Caenorhabditis elegans: one gene and its partner. The protein of the gene in region 1 interacts with the protein of each later gene in a pairwise test. Each region holds a gene or a part of one and is shown in the gene's direction. Other genes may lie near its edges. The genes, in order: pacs-1 and wdr-37.

Evidence for each region.
Region 2: the proteins of pacs-1 (region 1) and wdr-37 interact in a two-hybrid assay, tested with the Caenorhabditis elegans proteins (one large-scale study listed by BioGRID).

The regions. Positions count from the first base shown.
Region 1 is NC_003283.11:9,210,194-9,222,270, reverse strand, and holds pacs-1 (Phosphofurin acidic cluster sorting protein 2), read left to right. Parts: upstream 1-5,012; 5' UTR 5,013-5,092; coding exon 5,093-5,181; intron 5,182-5,430; coding exon 5,431-5,515; intron 5,516-5,563; coding exon 5,564-5,788; intron 5,789-5,835; coding exon 5,836-5,908; intron 5,909-5,961; coding exon 5,962-6,239; intron 6,240-6,284; coding exon 6,285-6,596; intron 6,597-6,640; coding exon 6,641-6,951; intron 6,952-7,001; coding exon 7,002-7,189; intron 7,190-7,237; coding exon 7,238-7,969; intron 7,970-8,018; coding exon 8,019-8,137; 3' UTR 8,138-8,517; downstream 8,518-12,077. Other genes in the region: grd-6 (Ground-like domain-containing protein), read right to left, coding at 1-120, 288-354; mdt-27 (MeDiaTor), read left to right, coding at 8,620-8,670, 8,865-8,924, 9,928-10,425, 11,034-11,114, 11,159-11,389, 11,495-11,718.
Region 2 is NC_003281.10:5,594,891-5,605,455, reverse strand, and holds wdr-37 (WD repeat-containing protein 37), read left to right. Parts: upstream 1-5,397; 5' UTR 5,398-5,404; coding exon 5,405-5,612; intron 5,613-5,656; coding exon 5,657-6,133; intron 6,134-6,514; coding exon 6,515-6,787; intron 6,788-6,836; coding exon 6,837-7,339; 3' UTR 7,340-7,477; downstream 7,478-10,565. Other genes in the region: xnd-1 (X chromosome NonDisjunction factor), read right to left, coding at 1-197, 245-336, 387-576, 623-995; madf-11 (MADF domain-containing protein), read left to right, coding at 2,026-2,092, 2,138-2,229, 2,274-2,535, 2,584-2,855, 3,425-3,652, 3,695-3,747, 3,796-4,079, 4,124-4,263 and 1 more; ced-6 (Cell death protein 6), read right to left, coding at 7,605-7,921, 7,972-8,410, 8,460-8,750, 8,909-9,186, 9,532-9,685.

The DNA.
Region 1 (12,077 bases):
AGATATCGGGAAGTTGAATTTGAAATTGATTTGGTCTAATCGCGCGCACTGGCTCGCCTGATCCAAAACGAATAAGATTAGGTGTTGGTTGAACTGGTGGGGTTTGGACAACTGCCGCTTCTGAAACTTTTGTCGCGAGATATTTGAAAGTAGCAATAAACCATTTTTAAAAATCTAAAATTGGCGTTCCATATATTAACTATATATGTTATTCATGTTTTAATTCTAGACTGTACAATACAACACACTAAATTTTGAGGATTTCCTGAAAGTTCCAAAATTCTTACCTTGTTGTCCATAAACTGATGAAATGAACACTACCAATGCCACAAGACGATACCGAATCGACGGCATCGTGATCCGAATTGTGACTGACTGATGACTTCTACAATTACCTGTGTCATTGTAAAAGCCATTGGGAGAAGCTAATCCCGCCCAGTCAAACTTGAAAAGAGATCGAAGAGATAGTGCCTCGCGGAGAAATTCATTGCGCAACACATATCAGTTTGAGTGAATTAGGAGGCAAGAGAAAGGTGAAGGGCGGTGTTTGATGATGGTGAAGATGATGACGAGAACTTTTGGGAATGTTAAGAGGTGTTCTGATCTTCTGTGAGAATGAATGATTTTGAGAAAGTGAAGCCACTTCATCAGACAGCCATTTTCTGTAACAATGAAAATAGAATGTTAGCTGATCTATGGACGCAAGGTTAATGCGAATCGTCTACATGTTACGTAGTCAAATATTCTTGGAAAAAAAAGCTTCAAGTTCTTTATTCAGTTTTCCTTTTGATGTAATGTTTGTTCTTAGTTTAGAAAAGACATATTTCACATTTAGTGTTAGATATAATTTGAGATATGGGATAAATTCCATATCGATCAAATCAGAATTGCAATTGGAAGATTAATTTCTTTGAAAAAAACAGGCTCCAATATGAATGTGTACAAACTTAATATTTTCCAAAATAAATCTGAAGTCTATTGTCAAATTCATTTCTGATTTTTAAAGATTTTATAAATCGCAATTGAAAACTTCCTTGTCTGAATTTGTCAAAAGGAGGCAAAAACTAATGTTCGGGAAATGATGGATGACATTGCAACACGAAGAAGCTGCTAGAGATTCTGAAAAACTCGACAAACAACAAAAATGCAGAAGCCGAAAAGGCTGATGAAGTTATGAGTAGCTTAAATAAAAAAACACTTATAGACATGTATGTATTCTTTTTTCTAAACTTAACGAAACTTCCGATTCATGTGCAAACCTTCCCTAGATGTTTTTTTTTTCAGATTCCAGTTCGTCTCTGCCACAAAAGATATCATTTCAGTACATATTTATTGCAGTGTCCCTTCGAAGAATTATATGACTCCTTGGAAGTACTGGATTTATTGCTTTCTATGTACTTCATGTAAGAGTAAAACAACAAGAAAACTTGGTAATTATTGGGTTAGGATAGAAAAGAAATACAGAAATTGTTTTCCTGTTGATATAAATTTCATTTATGTTTTTCCTAACTAATAATTCATTAAATATACCAACTTTCTTCCTAGTTATTCTCATTTTTCAAGTTTTCCCCTTCTCGATTTAAACTTCCGCCCTTTTCACGCAGTAGCCACTGCGGCCAAACGCGCTCTGCTGGACTAATTTTCTCTGCGTCTCCGCTCATGACTTGAACTTTTCAAGGATTTTCAGAATTTTTCCCTTCGTTTTTCCTCATTCTTTTCTGTTTTCTTTTTATTTTCGAGCTCCGTAAACCTGACCTTTAGTCCCTTTCTTCAATATTCGAATAGAAATTTACAACCGGAAGCCTTGTCTGCTTGAAAAACAGAAAAATTAATTTCGCACATGCAAGAGCGACTCTTGAAGAATTTTTGACGCTTGTTTTATTTGGGATTCGAATCCGGATTCTCGTTGTCTGAATTGCTCATTCTTTTTTCCCATCCTGAATCTTTAATTATCGTCAATTTTAAATACGGAAAACAAACATTTCGTCCTACTCTTCTCTTGTCTGCTCCCCAGTACCCAAATAGAGCTTCTTTCACTACTCTGTTTTCGGCTTGTTTCCGTCGCAACGGAAACAAAACAAATTCTCAAAATTCCCACAAGTGGAAAGCATGGAATATTTTGATAATATTAATTTTTAATCCTTGATTCGTACACTTCCTTCCCTTTTTTCATTTCCTGTAGAAAAAAGGCTTATAACATGAGCGTTAGTATTTTATCTTCAATTTATTCCATATCCGAGAATAGCAATAAATAGATGGCACGTGTCCTCGAGGACCTTCGAAAATGACATCGCGAGCACACCGACAACCAAAAACCGCCGGAACTAGCGATGAAACTTGAGAAAAAACATGCCCCAGCGGTTCCCGTTCTAAATTAGTTTATTACGCTAACATCGACGGATATGTGCCATTTTGTATATTCAACCATAACGTATAAATAATGTGGGCTTCTATATAAATACGCTCTGTACTCTCCGAGTTTATCTTGTTATTTTTCCATCACAAATTGGTTAGTTATTCTCAAGAAATAATTATCGTTTTAAGTTTCACTATTTAGTCAAAATATACCTCGTGCTCTTTCGTCTTTTCTGCTGGCTAGTAGCCTCAAAGCAATCCTGGGTCCTCGTTGTTGTTATCACTCTCTAGACTGAATGTTAGCACTCTCTCAAAAACTCAGCTGATCTTTTCCCAAGTTCGCGTTGTGTCATTTGCAGCAAAATGGGACGGCAAGTAGTTTCGGTGTCCGGAACCATCCAGCTAATGATATTTTGTTGTATGTAGCGGGTCACACAGAGAAACGAAGAGAAACTCAACTGCCATTGGCACTGCACGGCGGCTAATCCCTCAAACACATTGGAGAATACTGGAGGCACGCCTACTCGACGACCCGTTCGACGATTCATTGTGCGTCCGTGTTGCGAGTCTCCGAGAGTCTCGGAAAGAGCATTGCCCTTATTCTGCGTCTCTTTTTCTTTCTTTCCATTGCATTCTCGAGTCCCATTTCTACTGCATCTCTTTTTCGCGCCTCCCTCACTTGTCCCCCATCGTGTCAATGCTATGTCATCATCGTCATGCTCCGAGATGGTCGTTTGTCATTCTCTGAAGCTGTCAAGACAATCGCCCATTTATTTCTTTAGATGAGTGGAAAGGGAAAAGCTCAATGTTATTTTCTATTTTTCTTCGCTCTATCTTCTTCAGCTACAATACAATAGTTTATTTTTAAAAACGCGTATAATTTCTAAATTAGCTGTGTCCGGAAATGAAGATTCAAGGTAATTGTCTCTTTTCATCGCTTCATTTCCCGTTCCCGCTGTTTTCTAATTAGCTTATTATTCATAGAGTGCAAACATCGAACGCTTCGTTCTCTCTTTTCCGTTCTCTTATCGTCTCTGTTGCTCCCTATTTCTAGTTTTGTTATCGAATCGGTCGCCATCGAGACGGAGCGGCTGCATCTATTTGTTATCTGATTTGTAGCGTTGCTATCGTCATAACAGTTAGATTATAAATTATTTTCCACCTTTTTTTGAGTGGAAAAATTAATTCTCGTCATCTTCATTCCAGTTAGAAATTAACGAAATTCTGTCAACTTTAATTAAGCTGTAAGAGCCTCAAAACCAACACCATTGCGTTGTGCTGCGCAAAGAGAGAAAGGTATCCAATTTTAATCCAAGAAAAAAGATCTTCTACCACCACTGCTACATATAAAGGATTTTTGTGTCTCTGGCGACAACGGAAACCCCCACATTTCCGGGTCCTTCTCTTTTTTCCAGCACACACAGAGTGGTATCGGCAAACGTCTCAGTCAATCAGATTCAACGATTTAGTTGGTTGATATATCAGCAAGTTCGATCTTTCGCGTGGAGGATGATTGATGCGTTGTCCTGTCAGTTCGAATTCCCTAGATGCGTTTGATGGAACATTCTTTTCACGTATTTTCCGTGCTCTCGCGCCTGCCATCGCTCTCTTCTACCTGAAATATGATATTGGTCATTGGATTCTTTGTGGCGTTTTCTGTGGATATGATTCTACAAGTCGCAAAAGCCTATTGTTGTCGTAATCTGCACGTAATTTTTCGAGAATATCATTCAATTAAACTCTGTATTTCTCAAATTCGATCTCTCGAAAACATAATAAAGTTAGACTCTTATAAACGTGCGAAGTACCTAGATGTTCCGTTTCAATTAAATTTATTTTAAACATTCTCACGATATTTAGAATCAAATTCAGTACGGTTGACCAGACCTATTATCTCGGTGTCATTTCATGCCATGTTCTATATTTTTCCGCTACCTTCTCCATCTTTTTATTAATGAGAGACATAGACGCAATGCGCGTAAGTGTCTTGGGATCGTGAACACCTTTTCACCACAAATTTAATTTCGCGACCTTTTGTCGACGACACATTGAATGGAGGGTTTCTCAACACCCTCGTTTCCCTTTTCATTGACAAAAAATCAGTTCCAATCCCTTGAGAATACATTTCGAAGAGCCGCTCTTTCTAGCTGTTGGATATAAGCCTTCATTTTCGTCCTAATTCCTATTCATGTGTAGCTTTCCTTCTCTCCCACGCGTTCAATATTTTTTGTTTATTACTCAATGCTGAAATGCTTTCATCTCTGAGAAAGAAAATTTGATTTGGAGAAATTAACAGAAGGAAATCTCCGCAATCCTGACATATAAACATGATATTCTGTCGCCGTGATTTTTTCATCGCGAAGTTCATGAACAATCATATTCAGTACTCCTAGATGTTTCACATTCAGTTTTTTCGGTTATAGTGAACAACTTTTTGCCATTCGTTTTTACACCTATAACGTGTCATAATCTCTTTTCTACCGAAAAACTGACTAGTTTTAACGGTTTTCAGATCCTACAACAACAATTTCACCGGCGGTTGTTCTCTAAACAAAAAGTACACTAGAAACATGATATTTCCACATTGATTCATGTTTTGCTTCAATTTTTCTATCTTTTGATTTTTCCTCTCTTTTTCATCGAGTTCATTTTCACAAACCTTTTTTATTTTCAGTATCTAGAAAATTTCCTGTTCTGAAGATGACACTTCATTGAATAACTACGGAAGACTACAAGAATGGATAAACAACATGAGAGCAGTTCAATGGCCATGCGGTTGTATGCCACATGGGATGTCGATAGAGCTACACCGTCTACTGTTCCGAGGTATGTTCACTTCATAATTTAGACGAGGAAAACAATTAATCAAATTTTTACTGGTTTTTGTTATTCTGTGTGCAGACGAACAAGGATTTTAGTTCCTTGTTTTTAAGATAGTCTGTACAAAAAACCGGTACTGAAAATTTGTGGCGCATACTTGAAGATTCGACGATTCAAAGTTCTACATTCAAGTAGTCCAAAAGTAAAAATTGCCATAAGTTATCAGGAATTATCATAATTTGTAATATTTTCCAGGATCTTCAACGTTTCAATTAATCGAATTCTCTTGGATTGTGTATTTCCTGAAGTAAATTCCATCATTGTAACGGCAAAACTTCCGGTAAAAAATAAGGTTTTGAGAAGAGTTTACACAAAAAACAATTTTTAGCTCTCCAAACGAAATAGATATTTGCGGAGCAACGAGATAAAGGTGACGCCGAATCACGGTCGAATCGATTTGGATTGTGATATCTCATTCTGCATCCAATATCCACATTTTTTGAAAAGAAAATCAAATGTGCTTCAAATATTGATTCAACGAAGGAAAAAGTTTAAAAATCGTCTTCCTGGAGGTCTTCGTGATCTCGCTGTCGGGAATATTAATCTCACTTACGTAAGTTTTTTTTGGTTAATCGGATTATCCAATTGAAACAATTACAGATAATGCAACAAGGTGGTTTACGGGAAATTCAGTTGAACCCAACTTCTGAAAATGAGGTTGAATTGAAAGGAGGTTTGTGTCTTATTTTGAAAAATCATTGAAAAAAAGCGTTGTTTATTTTTCAGTTGGCGCGTGTGCTGGAAAAATTTTCCTTTCCTCCTGTTATTCACAAGCACCTGAAATTGTTGATGATCGTGACAAACAGAAAAAGAATGTCGAAGATTCTGAAGATGAAACAGAAACAGACTATGATGATGTTGGTGATGAGCTGAATGAAATGCCAAGTGCACGAAGCGGTCGGCATAAAACATCCACAGATATTGAAACAAGGACGGGACGAACAAAAGGAAAAAATTTGAAATATCAGATGAATAAATTGTTCAATATGTTCCGACCAGAAGATGTAAGTATTTACGAATTGTCTAAAAATAAACATTTTTAAATTTAGGGGCGACGTCCGGTGGTCAAAGAAATGCCGTGGGAAGATGACGACATCGATTCACCATACGATTCTGGACCGGAGATGTTTAATGATGACGCATCGATCAGAAGCAACCGTCGGCCTCAGCTTGCACCATTTTTTGATTCTAAAGAGAAGAACGATCATCTTGCTGCAATGTATGAAGTTTCTGACGGAGAAGGGGATCATGGTGAAGGAGGATGGAATTCTGATGGAGATAATACTAAAGAAAACGTCGCGCGACACCGATTAATTCAGAAGGATTCGATTGGTTCCGGTCATCCAGACTATTCAGTTCAGGTAATTGTTATTTAACTGATTTCATTTTTAATAACATTTTTCAGACACCTGTGCGTTCTGCCGGAATACGCGTTGTATCATCATCATTTGATTCACATTCGATGCCACATTCCTCGACTCTCAATTCAATAAAAAATGATCACGGAGTTCATCGAGGAGTGAGCTTGTCAGAACAATTATGCTCCATTCTTGGATCGAGCATGTCTCCTGAAGGAAGTGATGCTGTTTGGTTGTGTAATTTATCAGAATGGCCTGCATATTCGATACTGGGTGGTCCAGTACCTATTGTAAACTGCCCTTCATTTTCGCAAGTTAGACAGACGCTGAGCCATGTTATAAATCGTATTCAAAATTTGTGAGTGTTTCTTTCTCATTTCATTCTATAATATGAGCTTATAATTCCAGCTGCCACTCCAACTCATCAAATCCTCCGTTGACAATCGTTGGAATCATCGGAACTGACAAACTCTTCTCACAAGTCGTTAAAGCTTATGTGGAGTGTCTGGCCCATAAATCGCTCGCCAATCTCGTCAATCATCTCCGATTCGTGGCCATCCCGTCGACGAGCTCTCTATTTTATAAGATGATCGAAGGTATTTTCAAATTTTCTTTTATTCTAATATATTGCTTGTTATTTCCAGGGATCGATCCACAACTCGACAATTTATGCAGAGATCTCTGGGATCGTTTTGGAGACATGACATTGCCAGAAAAAACTTCATTGGCTAATAAAATTGCTGCTTGGCCAAATAGTGTCAGCTCGTCAAAGATGAATATGCCAATAGGCGAAGCTATGCTTCAATTGACTGCTGATCGCGATCCTGAAGGTGGACGTGTGTTTTTACCTTTCCTCAGTGAAGTTCGTGTCGGAAGTCAACAGTGTGAAATTGAAAATGATGATGACTCAAATGGACTCAATGGATTCGCACAAACTGTAATTTCTCCACGAGAAGAGTCGGTTATATCGAAAACTGATGGATCGTCTCCACCTCATTCTCCACAACTTCGAAACGTCGATGGCCAAGAACTTAATATGGATTTCTGGCCGAATAATCCCGTTCCGCAATCATCACAATACTCGTACGGCTCTGATTTCCCTCCATCATCTTCGAATACAACTCCGAATTCTAAAAAAGATACAGCCAAGGTCACAATTAAAGCTCATTTCAAAACACTGCTTGTGTCGAGATCTCCAAGTTCTGGTTCATTGAGTCTTACCTATTTAAAAGAAAAAAGGAAAGACAAAATGCTACAAAAACTGGGAATGAAGAAAGGACAAAAGCAGAAACCAGAGGAAGGAGCTGCTCCATCTCAAGTATCTTCTATTGGAAGAATGCTTTGCAGTGCTACCGGAAAGCACAATGAATTGACTGGTTCGTTTTTTTTTGTTTTGAGCTGTAAAATAAGCAGATTTATTTTCAGTTATCATCGATGGAAATGCTTACAATGGCATCAGATACTTTCAAACATCTCCACAATGGCAGACGCATATCAAATCCTTCCCAATTGCTTTCTTCACTCCGAATGTCTGCACAGCTTGATCGTTTACATTTTGAGTGTATCTACTCATGTCTTCCAATTTCTTTTTATCATCTCTGTTTCATAATTTACACCTCAATCTCGCTTCTATTGATTTGCCTGTATAATATGTAAGTGTTCCCAAAGTGTCGAATATTAATCTATTTCTTTTTTGTTGCTATTCTCTATGTTAAAATATTTGTACACCTTCCCCCACACGGTTCCGTTTTCTCTCGTTTTCTTGTCCGATGATGCCCTTGAAATATGCTTTTCCGCCAATTTTTCACCTTGAAACATGTGCATCGCACCAACAAACGCTTTATTTTTTATGTTTTTACATTCCGAATTTCAACTCATCGTTCATTCGATTTTTAAATAAAAGCTTTTGATTAATTTTATATAATTAAAAAATATATGTTTCAGTGTTGTTTTTTTTTGTTCCCCCGGGCCAAGTCATTATTTTGTTGAAAAAAAAATTGTTTTAAAAAATTGGCGAGTTCAGATAATGGGAGACAATACAATCCGGATAAAAAGCGAAAATTCGTTCGGAAATACGGTATAGTTTTTGTCATTTAATTTTTTTATAATTAAAAAAAATTAACAATTCACTGGCCCCCACGGTAGCTGAATATTGAAACAAATTTTGATCTCAATTATCTTTTTCGGCAGGGGAAACTGCGGCATATGTTTAGCTTGAAAAAATTACTCGAAACACGCAGATTCAAAATCCTTATTTTTCAAAATGTTCAGGCTGCAAATGGAAGATTCCCAGATACTCCTTTTGGACGAAGGCCGCCCCTTGTTAGCAAAGTAAGTTTGTGTCAATGTCATTTTTTTCTTAAAATCAACTTAAATAATAATAATAAATGACAAAATTTAGCTGCTAAAAATAAATTAAAACTTTATATTATAGGAAACGTTGATCCCTTTAATAACACTATTTGTGAAAAGTGTCGGAAAAAATACAATTAAAAACTAGTACAATTTGTGATAGAATTGTTTAAAGTTACGATGCTAGTAGAAATTTACTAAAAACCACAAAAAAGTTTATACCCAAGTGAGAAAAAAGATTTGTTTTTACATCTAAAACTTGAAGATCCCTTTTTTCCACAAACATTGAAACAACTTTGAGAAATGCGCAGATTTTTTTTCAAAAATAAAACATGCTTCAAGATTTTCAAATTAATTCATATCGATTTTTTGTAAAAATCTCGATTAGTGCTTCTTAGCAATTTTTCTTTATACTAATTTACCTCATTTCGATTGAAAATTGAAAAAAAAAAACAAGATATTCTAAATTAGTTCAAGTAACTATTTAAATCTTGGCACGTGCTGTTTATCGCTTTTATAAACATTGGAATTTTGTTTATACCAAAATTAAGTCATTTGCGATCCCCTCACTCTGAAGTAGTTCATCAAACGCGCTCTATTGAAAACAAGACTAATGCAGTTGTAGGGAAGCGTTGGAAAAGTGTATACCAGCAATGAAGAAGTGAGAGACGCAGACACCGTATATTGCCTATTGCAGAAAATGGTGTTTTCACAGTTAATGTATATTTCTATTTGATCGATAACATTTTTCTATTTAGTTTTCAGTTAGATAGATCATTTAAATTAAATATTATTGTTTTTTCTTTTCATAATTTTATTTAAAACAATTAAAATTCAGTTAAACTTTTTTATTTATTGTGTTGATTTATCTTTTAATTTCAATCACAATCTCAAAATTTAGATAATACACCGTTTTCTTTATTTTGAAAAAAATTGTCAATTTCATTCAGCACTAATTAATATAAATCGGAAAATTTTTTAGATAGACGGTCGAGCCCGGATTTTGAGACCACTTCGTCCGGCAGCCATGCAATCCAATCAGCAACCGACCACATCTGCAAATGCTTCAGGACCATCGGGAGCACGTATCTCTTCGGGTAATATTCCTCACTCTCAATCGATGCCTGTTCTTCAATCTGGAAACACTGCTAACCGACCTTCAACTGCAGGGAATCCGGCAGCTGGACGACCGATTTTAACACTTCCATCAAATACAACGGAGAAGCACGTAATTGCGTTAAATCAATGGGCAGAAGTGATGAAGAGTAAATTGGAGAAAATGCGTCAAAAGTCGAAAAAAGCATTAGACGAATCGATGAAAGAGCATTCGACAATGGAAGATTTATCAAGAGCAAGAGAAGCATTATCAGAAATGGGAAATATGTATTATGAATTGAATAGAGCAGCAGCACTCAAATGTCGATATAATGCTGTATTTGACAAAAGGCCTCTATATAAAGCTGTTGAATCATCAATACAAGTGAGTTTTTGATTAATTTAGTTTAATGATTAATGATTAAGATTCTTAGTTCAAAAGTCATAATTTATAGTTTTTTAAGCTTTTTTTTTTGTCCTAACACAAGTGACGGAAAAAAAAACAGTCTCAATGTAGTAATATAACATTGTTAAGTTCTAATTTTTTTTCAACGAAAAAATTGAAATAAGCTGATGAATTTTAGAATTCAGCGGAATAACTTAAAGCAGATTTTTTTGCATTTTCCGGATATATTGATTAGTTTTTTATTCGTTTTTTTTAAAGATGTGATTTGAAACATTTTTGTCAAATTTTCAGACATTTTACAGTAAGGAAAACTTGAGAAAACAAGAAATTTGTTGAATCTCTAATTTTGGTATAAAGATAGATAATTTAACGTTTATTGTGGAAAAGTCCCTGAAAATGTGACAAACGATGTTTCAAATTCTACAACAATTTAGAAAAATTCTATAATTTGTTTAACAAATATATTCACTATACGGAGACTGTTTTCTTTCATTTTTAACTCTTTCTGCGAAGACATCATTTTAAATGAGAATAAATTATTTAAAAAAACCGTTTGCCAACTTGGAACTTTAAATATTTAATTTCAGGATCTCAGACAGAAAGATGAAAGTGCTTATCAATTATTCTACAAATTACAAGAGGCAATGGACGAGAGGACAGTTATTGAGGTAATATTTGGAAATACTCTGAATTCGTTACATTCTAATTTCAGAAAAACATTATCGCTGTGTCAGAAACATTTCGTCAAAACGCTGTTCATGCTCCGAGAGTCTCAAGATTATCTGTCCCACCACCTTTGAAATTCTCGAAACACGTTGAAGATGCGAATAAAGGAGTTTTCTTAGCAATGGATGCTGTTATGAATAAAACGAGGGGTGATTTGACATGGAGATTCAAAAGAATCAGTCATCCATGTTTTAGGAATTCAAAAAGTCTCATTGAAGTGAGTTTTTCTTCCAGTCTAATTTAGAAAAATATAAACCTTTTTCAAAAATCTTTATTCCCGAAACCAACTCCCGTTTCCCAATGTAAAATGGCTTTAATTCAGGTTCACTACTGTGCTCGGCGCCCAAATAGTGAAAAAGAATTCGTTCCGTGTATGAAAGCTGTTATTGTACTCAAATATGGAATTCTCGAAGATATGATTATTGGAGGCGAAGATGAAGATTTATACAATCAAGAACAAATTCTACATTCGAAACGGAAAGTCTACAGAGAATTCACAAAATCGGCCAAAGAGATTATACTTTGCTCGCCAGTTACAAAGTTTACGTAAGTTTTAAATTTTTAAACGAAATTATGTAAAATTAAAAAAACATGAATTACTGGAAATCTTTATAGAAAAATATTTGTATATTAAGCATTTTTTCGTTTAGAGAAATTTCGAGACATTCCCAATTTTCTACATATTTGGAAATGAATTTTGTGCGCCTAGTACATTTTTAAAAAAAGCTTGAAATCCATTTTAGATATTAAAAAAAAACGGTTTTACAAATTACAAGCCAATTTCCAAAAAATTTCTTGAATTTTAAATAAAGAAAGGTTGGCTCGCATAAAATATGTGTAATGCATAAAAAATCTATATCTTTAAAAACTATCTAAAGTGGATTCGAAATTCTCCTAAAATACCA
Region 2 (10,565 bases), on another chromosome or scaffold:
TCGTTTTCCGACTCTTTCCGTATGTTCACTTCCAAGCGTTGCGTCTTCCTCGAGAATTTTCCCTTCACTTGGTTCGCTTACAGACTCCCGAGTACTTCCACTTTGTCGCTCGAGAATTGGCGGCGGTGTGACAGCTCGCTGGTACCGAGATCGCAGAAATTCCTCCTCATCAGAATCATAACTGTTTCGGAAGATATCTGAAGAGAAAATGAGCTTTAAAAAATCAAATTTTCATGGAAAATACCTCTTTTGGTTCGATTCGACTCAAATCTGGATATCAGAGATCGCTGTGGTGGAAGATCTGGTGGGCGTGTAGGGTCGGCCATAATTTTAATTCTGAAGACGGGTGATTGTTTTGTTTAATAAAAAACTTTTTAAAAACTAACGCTTCCTCCTCTTCGTCGAATCCAACAACGTCCACATCCTCATCAGAGTCTGTAAGCACTATTGGCTTAGATACAACAGGATTCGGATTTTTTGGAGAATTTTGTGCCTTTTCGAGTGTTACTTGTTGGTTATTAACAACTAACGGGGACTTCGACTTGTCTGTATTCTGAGAACGAATGACGTAGACTTCTGAAAACAATATTTTTATTTAACAGAGGACCATTTGCAAACAAACTTCTTCGTGGCAAATTTGGATCCGTAGCTTTTTTAACTGGCTTTGGTGGAGGTGGGAGACAGGAATCTCCGAATGAAGCCCATCCAATATGAGCTTTAGGTTCATAATTACTAGAAGATGCCGGTGGTGAATCAGTTTCGTCGTCGTCGTCGACTATCAGAAGATCATCGACGCTCAACGTTTTCTGGGATGTGGAAGGTTCATCATCTTTAGCAGTTTGCGGTTTTGGATCAACTTTTGGAAACTTGACCGCTGCTCGTTCTTCTTCATTCATAAAAGCAAATGACATTGGGGATATTGGTGGAAAAGCTGCGGGTGCAGGCTCTGTCGTCATGGAATTGTCTAGATTGGCAACAATGGGTTCAGAAGACATCCTGGAAACAAAAAATATGGAGATAAAATTTTTAAATTTAAATTTAAACTGTTTTTATTTACCAGAAAACTAGAAAATCCCAATGAGAAAGAAGGGAAATTAATAGAAAAATAAAGTTTTAAAAATACCTAAATTTTCTACAGTACCCGAGGTCTCGCGAAGATTTTGGTCCGCAGTACGCAAACACTCTTATGCTTGTTTACCGTAACCACTGAAATATTTTTTCGTTGTTTTTCTTTATTTAAAAAAAGTTATCTATTTTTCGAAATTTATTGAAAATTTCACATTTCAAAACCGTCAATAATTCTTTTAAAATTCATTTTTCGCAATATGGATTTTCTTCAAATGTTAAACCAGAGTTTTCTTGTAATTCCTTGAACAAATCACATTTTTAAATCACATAACCATTTTCGTTTCTGGAAATCTTCACTTTGAAGTTGAATTCTTGTTAGATTATATTTGTTTAACTCTGAAAAATAGTTAAAATGTGTGTTTTTATATGTTTTGTTTCAGATTTCCCCTGCTTTGTTTTCCTTTCCTAGACTAAGTTTTTAAATTTCGATCAATCCTTTTTCTTCATTTTACCCTCTCAAAACCATTTATTTACTCACTTGAGAGACGCAGAGAAACCATCGATGGCCTAGATGTCTCGTCTCGCCTCCTTCTCGGCCACGCGCGCCTATCTATCGATGTTTTTCTGCCTGTTCGCTCCGTTTTCTTTTTCGAATCTTGACCGCTTCGCATGCCTGTTCCGTTGCGGTTTCTGAAGCGTTTCGGTTGCGTCGCGGTTCCCGGCTCCGCCCTACTACCCGTTCGAGTCTCCCACGGTCTGTAGCACGTCTATCACCTATGTGAATGAGTGTGTACGATCATCTTCTTGCCAATCGGGTTATTGGGTTCAATGGATCGTAGATTGATATGAAACTCGAATTCGGGAAGGAATCGCCACGCAACGCAGCTAGAAATGCTTGAGAAACTTGCGAGAATTTGAGAAGAAAATAAATTTCAGAATTATTATTAAAAATTTCCAATGAGCGACCGACGGCGGCACGGAACAGAGGATTATCAAATCGCCGGTCTCAAGCATTCAATGACAAGTAAATCGATATTCATAGATTCAGAATTTCCAATAATTTTTCCAGGTGTCGCCTCAAGCTCCCACGGTGGTGCTGGAGACCTCCAACAACAATTTTCCAGGGAAGATCCACCCGTAAAAACTACGCAATACACACTTGTAAGCTGGAAAACGTTTAAAATTCAAAATTTTCAAATTTTCAGCTTCAACTAATCAATATGGTTCGAGAAAATCCGATTCTCTACGATGAGGAGATGCAAGCCGCCACGCCGGATGCTCAGTTGAAGGTTCAGAAACGAGAAGCATGGGATCGGATACGTGCTGATATAGTTTGGCAGGACATCACTCTTGTTCAGGAAGTCTGGTCGGATCTTCTCGATCAATATGCTAGAAAATCGATTGATATGTCCGATGGACTAATTGAGGCAATGCGATGGACAGATTCATTGATTTTTAAGAAGAAATGTAAGAGTTTCTTGCAAAGAAATACACCAAAATCATTTATATTTTCAGCAGACTCTCGACCTCCTTCACAGCTCACCGCAATGTCCTCCGGACTGGATAAGGATTTCTATAATGACGTTCCGCTGGCAGAAGATGTATTAGAACCCGGACAAAGTCTCGGAAATTCTGAATCCATGAAGTTCGATTATGTGGTTATTCAGCCTCATGTTAGGCCACATCAACAAATTCCCACATCTTCATATTCCCGTCGAAAATCACCACAATCAAGAGAAACAGAGGCAATTGTTCGAACTTATCCATTATCGCCGAAGCGGATAGTGGTAAGTGCAAAAACGATGAAGTAATTACTACTCAGACCCTAATTTTTCCGATTTTTGCTGACTATGAGATAACCGGTCTCGTCACAACAATTTTTGTTAAATACGACAAGATGCGCGCCTTTAAGGAATACTGTAATTCCAAACTTTTGTTGCTACGGAATTTTCATCGATTTTCATAGCTTTTCAACAAAAATTTGAAATTACAGTACTCTTTAAAGACGCACACTTTATTGTATTTAACAAAAATTAGTCATGTCGAGACCTGGTACCGTATGTTTGGCGCAAAAATCGCAAATTTCACGTCTGGGTAATAGCAAAGGCAAGCATTCAAAAACCCCTTACCGGCCTCGCTTGCGGTGATGCACGGGTGGCCTACTGGCTAACACTCTCGTCTGCAAAGCAACAGTCCACAAGTTCGACCCCGCTTCATGGTGCATTACACTTTGTAACTTGCATTGTGTGCGCGACTAATGAAGCAATACCAATATCTGCAGTATCTGCTCATTCGCCGTGTTGTAGTTGATGAGCTCGTAGTCCGATAACAATTTTTTGATTTTTTTTCATTCCAGCAACAGCATCGTATGCCACAGAAGAATAATCCAGACCAACAACATCAAATGAATGAAGTCAAAAAGGAAGTTAATCCGTTTGGACGACAAGGTGTATTGGTGGAGGTGGAACCATCACCCTCCTATGCTCAATCGAATACGAAAATTTACAAAATGGTCTCCGCGCATAGAAGTGCAACGCCGCAACCTGCAGTTACAGTGGCTTCATCTAGAAGATTGGTACATATGGTAGGAAAAAATAATTTATTTAAATAAGAATTAAATTTTCAGCCTCACCGAACAAACTCCCTGGTTTATGATTCGATGCCAGAACTTATAGATTCGTGAGTTTTTTTTTTACTTCTTAAACTTCACTTAATAAAACATTTCAGTTCAAATATGCCATCGGAACCACCAAAAAAGAAAATACACTTGGAAGTGGGTCATCGAAATAGTGAAATGGTCGGTGTATCAACCTCATCAAATGCCCCGTGTCTACCCAAAGAAATTCTAACCGATGGAGTCCCAATTGCCGACGATGAGATTATTTTAGAAGCTGATGGAGAGTGTAAAATAGGTTCTGGAATGCTTCTGGAATCTCAACAATCAAGTTCACAAAATCATGAAATGGATATGCCATCAACTTCAATGGATCATTATCATCATCAAGATATTGGTAATTTTTCGCTGGAAAAATATGAATATTGAATGAATTTTCAGATGATGGGGGTGTTGGAGATGATATTGAGCAGCAAGTGGTGGTTGGAGGACCTTCTGATGAAATGGCGATACAATATGATGAAGATCTCGCATTTCAACAACATATCAATAGTGTCTTGAACAGGTTATCTGATGATGAGGTAATTTTTGGTTTTTAACAAAATTTACGCGGAAGAGTTTTAAAAATTCGATTTTTCATTAATAAATTGGAGTTTTATACAAAAATTCGAATTTGGATATAAAAAATTTTTTATAGGAAGAAATGTCATTTGCTTACAAAATTTAAATTTTGAGAAAAAACATTGAAAATTGTGGACAAAAATCGAATTTCTCAGAAAAAAGTGAAATTTTCCAAAAAGAAAAAAATACAAGCAAACTTGAAATAATCCTGGATTCAAGTCTTGAGTTACACAGGAAAAATTGTTTTAAAAAATGAGCTAAAACAAAAAAAATCAAATTATGTTCAATATTTGTAATAAATCAGCCTAAAAATCATTGAAGTTCCCATTGAAAAATCACCAGGCAAACTTCAACATCAATATTTAACTTTCGAAATATTAAAAAAATCTATTTTCAGAAATCCGTGATGAAATTCAACATGCAAAAAATTATACTCGACGCAAGATTTGGCTTAGGCACAGCCCGAAATATGCTTAAACACGATGAGATGCTGGAGGTAGAGTCACACGTGGAAATTGATCCGAATCACGAAGTTCCTGAAGAGATTTAGACATTAATTTGACGTACAATGCTTCTGTAATATTTAATTTGTTTTTTTCTTTTTTTCTGAAAAAAATCCATCCTTCTCCCGAAATCAATCATATCAGTGAACATAACGTATTCTTTTTTCTCTTTTCTCCTTTTCTCTCAAAAATATTTATTTTATTTTTTTCGAATATTGTCATTTGTCATAATTTTCAGATGAAATCAATAACATTTTTAATTTTAACAGGAATTGAAACCTTTTTAAATATGGATTTGTCGTCCTTGTGAATATTTATTTTCTTCTAATTTGAATTTTTCAGAATTAATATATAGATTTTTTTTGAATCTGCCTCAAAATAATGGCTTTTAAACCTAAAACCCAACAAAAAATCATTTTTAAATTAAAAACGGGCTGGCAGTGAATCTTTTTTCAATAAAAACTAAATTTAACAGAATGAAAGAAACCTAATTATCAGGAAAATTTTGGAATTTATGAGAGCAAGTTTGAAAAAGGATGAAACAAATTTGCCAATAAGTTTTGCATGTTATAAATATTATTAATTTTGCAGTGGGTCAATGCCACAATCGGAGAATTCAAAAGATGCCGAAAAAGAGAAGGTGATGCGTTCACGACGTGGTACTGTCGATACAGAGATCAGCGGAGCACTCACAGTTCTTCAGAGCTCATTGGACGTTGACGATGCTCCGTATCGAGCCCGTCTCTATCAGCTCTTTGGGCACATTGAAAAGGAGTTTGACACATTGTATGCCGAGAATTGTGCTCGTTAGTTTATGATTTGCAGCCAATCAAAACCTCAATATATCAAGTTTCAGTACGTGCTCGAATTGTTCAATTGACACAAACTGAAGGTGAAGCAGCGAATGTTGTGGCGCAGGAGGTTTTTGGAGTTCAAGAATCTGGAAAATCAAGTCGAAAAGCAATTCAAATGGGTCAAAAGTTGCGAACAGCTCTTCGAGGACCTCCAGTATTCCGTGATGGATCAAAATTCCGATTGAGTCGACTTCTAGAAGGACATAAAGATGGTGTATGGCATGTGGCAGCTGATTCGACAAGAAATATTTGTGCAAGTGCGAGTGCAGATCAAACCGCCCGTATCTGGTCATTGGAAAGTGGAGCCTGTCTGGCAACATATACTGGACACACTGGAAGTGTCAATTGTGTGGCAATCTCCAATAATTGTGCTGTGGATAGTACTGAAGGATCCGGACCAGCGTCAGGACTGTTGCTGGCGACAGCGAGTGGTGATGAGTCAACGCATATTTGGAAGGTTCCCAGTAATAATGGTAAATTTTCAAAAAATTCTTAAAAATTGCAAAGTTTAGCGCTGAAAGTCGCCTAAAATCGCTGGTTTGCCAAAAAAGCAGACAGTTTCTAAAAAAAATAAACAAAAAAGTTTTCAATAGTTTGAAGACTATTGAAAACTTTAAAAACGATTTTACAAAAATTATAGTTGCCAGAAGGCGAAATTTTCGGATTAAAAAAACTTGAAACACAGTTTTTTCAATAAGATTTTGAAATTTCACCGAAATTTATTGAAATATTTTTTAAATTCTTGTATTTTTGAAAAAAAAACACCTAGAAAATGGGCGGGACATGGTAAGCCCCGCCCACAAAATGGACTTCTTCGGAATAATAAACTTCCCTATAGCTATAACTATTTTCAGCTCCATCCGATCACAGTTCCGAGGAAGAAGAGGAGCACCACCGAGATCCGAACAACTTGCTCGGCGTCGTCGAACACAATCGCTTCACCTCGTCCAGCGAAAAATCCGACGGTCATCGGATCCGTGTCCCTGTTATGCGGCTTACCGGACATCGAGCTCCTGTTAGCTGTTGTGAATGGCTTGCTGGAGGACAGCAGATGGTCACTGCTTCCTGGGATCGAACGGCAAATGTTTGGGATGTTGAGAAAGGAGAAGTTGTGAATATTTTAAGTGGTAGGGTGTCACAAAACGACTTTAAATTTCAAAAATGAATAATTTGCAGGTCATGAAAGTGAGCTTAATCACTGTAGCACTCACTCCAATCAAAAGCTCGTGCTCACCTCATCCAAAGACTCCACCTTCCGCCTCTGGGATTTCCGAGAAGCCATACAGTCGGTCGCAGTGTTCCAGGGACACCAGGATTCAGTGACTTCGGTCAGCTTTAACACGGACTATCGAATCGTGTCGTCCAGTGACGATGCTACTGTAAAAATCTGGGATCTTCGAAACATGCGAACCCCGCTGGCCACGATTCGGCTCTCATCACCGGCGAATCGTGTGGCGATCAGCAAGTCACATCCGGTCATCGCCATCCCAATGGATAATCGTCACGTCAGGATCTATGATCTCAATGGAAATCGCCTGCCACGTATGCCGAACCGCCGATGTCACGAACGAATGGTGACGTGCTGTGCATGGCTCGACGAGCATCCTGCCAACAATCTGCTCACCGCTGGTTTCGATAGAATGGTCGCTGCGTGGAAAGTCAATACAACAACTTCATAATATTTAAACTTTTTCTATTTGTTGCCAGAAAAGCTTTGTGACATTTTAGCCATGAGACATTCCAGTTTATTTTTCACATGTAAGTAAGTAAGTAATTTTTAAAAATGATAGCGTGCAAATAAATACATTCAGCTAATAAATTTGGCAAGCCGTTCGGCCAAACCCTGCTAGTAAAAGAATGATACAAGAATAGTACAAGAATGCAATGGAAAAAAATCACCGTGAAACGTAGAAAATTGGAAAATTTAAAAAAAAGGAAATAAACTTATTGCTTCAAATTCATCATTTTCGGATTCAAACGATCCGATGGTGTTCCATAATCGCTTTCGCCTTCGATTCCGCCAAGGTCCCCGGTTTGAAGCTGCCCGAACTCAAATGATCCACTACTCATCGCGGCAAGCTTCTTCTCCACTTCATTGATCATTGCATCATACTCTGCAGCGGTCTTTTTGGGTGGTACAGATGAGGATTCTGGCTTTGGAAGACGAGCGATTGCTTCAGAAGCGAGAAGTTCAGCGGAGGCTGATGGTGGTGCTTCTTTACCATTTTGAATGCCACTGAGGAAGTCCGCACCGAATGGATCTAGAAAATATTACTTTTTTGAAAAGATCTTTTTATTGTTGAAAACTCACTATACTCAGCTGCAGTGCTCTTTTTTTCTCCAGCTCTGGGATCAAACGAATCATCGAAAATATTACTAGGAGCTTTTTTTGCCGGCTCAGCTGACCCCAACTCCAATCCATCCAACAATCCCGCCGTGGAGTTTTTCGGTGAAACAACGGGGTTTCTGCGTGGAGCAACTGGTGGCGGAGGAGCCAGTGCAGGAGGTCTCGGTGGAGGAATTGATGGAGCTGGTCCAGATGGTGATGTGGATGCCGGGCTCACGGATGGTGATGCTCCATTTGATGATGTAGAAATCTGAGGGAGAGTTGGAGCCATTTCAGTTGGTGGAAGATCGTTGGCACGTGGCATGGAATATATTGAGGATGGAGGAATGTTTGGTGGAGGTCCTTGAGGCATCGGAGAAAGTGGAAGTGCTGGAGGACCTAATCCTGGATAGATTGGGGGACCCTGAAAATGTTATATATTAATAATTTGTTTTGTAATTTTAAAAAACTACCGTGTTCTCATAATCAGCTTTACTATTAGCCCGTAGAGCTTCTGCTAATCGCTCAATGAGCACTTGATTCTCGGTTTCAAGCTCCACAATCTTTTTCTTCAAAATGTATATTTGCTTCTGATTCTCCAAAGACGTTCGATTTTTATCAAGGAATCTCTTGTAGGCGAGATCAAAAGCCTCTCCGATAGTTAGAGTGATATCTTCAGCTAGCTTTTCTGATGTGAACGCGTAACAAGACGGCTTCCCACTAGCACCCTCGGCGCGAGCAATAAATGAGAACATTCGCTTGTCCTGAAATTTCGTTGTTGGGGTTTTTTCCGAAATTGTATGATCGAAAGTGTCAATCAAAGTTATTTTACTGTAGGAAAATCGAAAAATTAATGTTTATTTCTCAAAGTATTTCGAGTATTTTAAATTAATTTTTCTAGCTTCAACTCAAAATCTCTTACATCTTTATCATCAGCACAAAACGATATTCTTCCCAATGGAAAAGTGTACATTGGCGCTTTTGTCTTAATATCCGCAATGATCACATTGTCGATCGAGATGCGAATTTCCACTTTTTGCAGTTTCGCCGTCTCCCGCGTTTGTTCAGATCGTTTCAGATCGCGTTGAAATCGAATCGCGTGGATCGCTTCTCTTGCCACGTCACTTCCATTTGCTTTTGGAGTTTCGACGCATCCAAGGAACCGTGCAACATATTCCACATGGCCATTGATAAGATAATCTGAAAATTAAAGAAAAGAATAATTGTCGAATGAAGATTTTTTAATGTTCAAGATAATTCGAAAAATTATTTTTTGGAAAAGCAAAGACATTTATTTTTAAACAAAAATTTTATGAAATTTTACAAATTTCTAAAGCGACTTTACAAAAAGTTACAAAAAAGGCGTTAAAATTTGTTTTGGGAATTCGTAAAAAAATGTTTATAAAAATTTCATCAGGAATTTTTTTTTGAAAAATGTGTTGTATTACGGCATATTTTTAATAAACAACATATTTTCAATAAAAAGATGAAACAAATTGTTCAAACAATTTTTTTCAATTTTTTCAAAGTAAAAATTTAAAAAACCTGGCGGATGAATCCACGTTCTTCCGGTCCCACCACGATATTTTACTTGTGGTGCACTCGTCGACGGGCTTGAAGATCCTTCTCCATTAATATTATTTCCACCGACAATTCCGGAGACCGATCGTTTGAAGGTCTTGTAAATGTCTTTTGCCATCTGATATAGAAAAAGTTTAGAACATTTTTCGTTTAAAAAAATGGTTCAAAAAGTCTCAAGATTTCGGCGAAGAAATGGGGAGGAAAAGAGCAGAAAAGCAAACTGTGTAAACATAAAGAAAAGAAGAAGAATTGATAAAACGATGAGTCAGCAATGGAAATGATCATGAATTGGAGGAGAAATAGACGGATAAATTGTCGGAAACCGGATGATTCAATGAGTCAGTTGGAAGAGGGATCGGATAGATGTATTAAAGAGAGTCCATTATTAGAATAAACAATTTATAAAGGAAAAGGTTCTTTTGGTGGGTCCGAATGTAAATAGACTTTGAGTAAGTATAAACTTAGAAGTGGTACATAGGAGAGACGCAGATATGTCATCTTGTTGGGGTGAAAATTTTGAGAAATTCTGAAAGAATGTACTTGGAAAAAGAATTGAAATATAGTCACATGATATTTTATTAATTCATCGCAAGAGAAGAGAAAGAAATGAAACTTGTGATCGTCAAAGTGAAAATTGAAAAAAAACAAATTGAAATGTTTTTTGGACTAGAAAAAATTCAATCACGGGCTTTCACATAATATCCAGACAATTTTTGGACCAATAATTCGATAAATGTTCTCGACACGACAAATTTGTGCTAAATACGAGAAGGTGTGCTCCTTTAAAGAGTACTGTAGTTTCAAACTTTTGTTGTTCCGGAATTTTCATTTAATTTTAATGGTTTTTCGGGAAGTTTTTTTTTTAATTTAAATTTAAGTTGATCAATCAGGAAGTATGTTTTCATCGAAAAATCGTGAAAAACTGACAGCAACAAAAGTTGAAAAAACAAAGGTGAAACTACAGTACTTTTTAAAGGCGCACACTCGTGAACCAATAA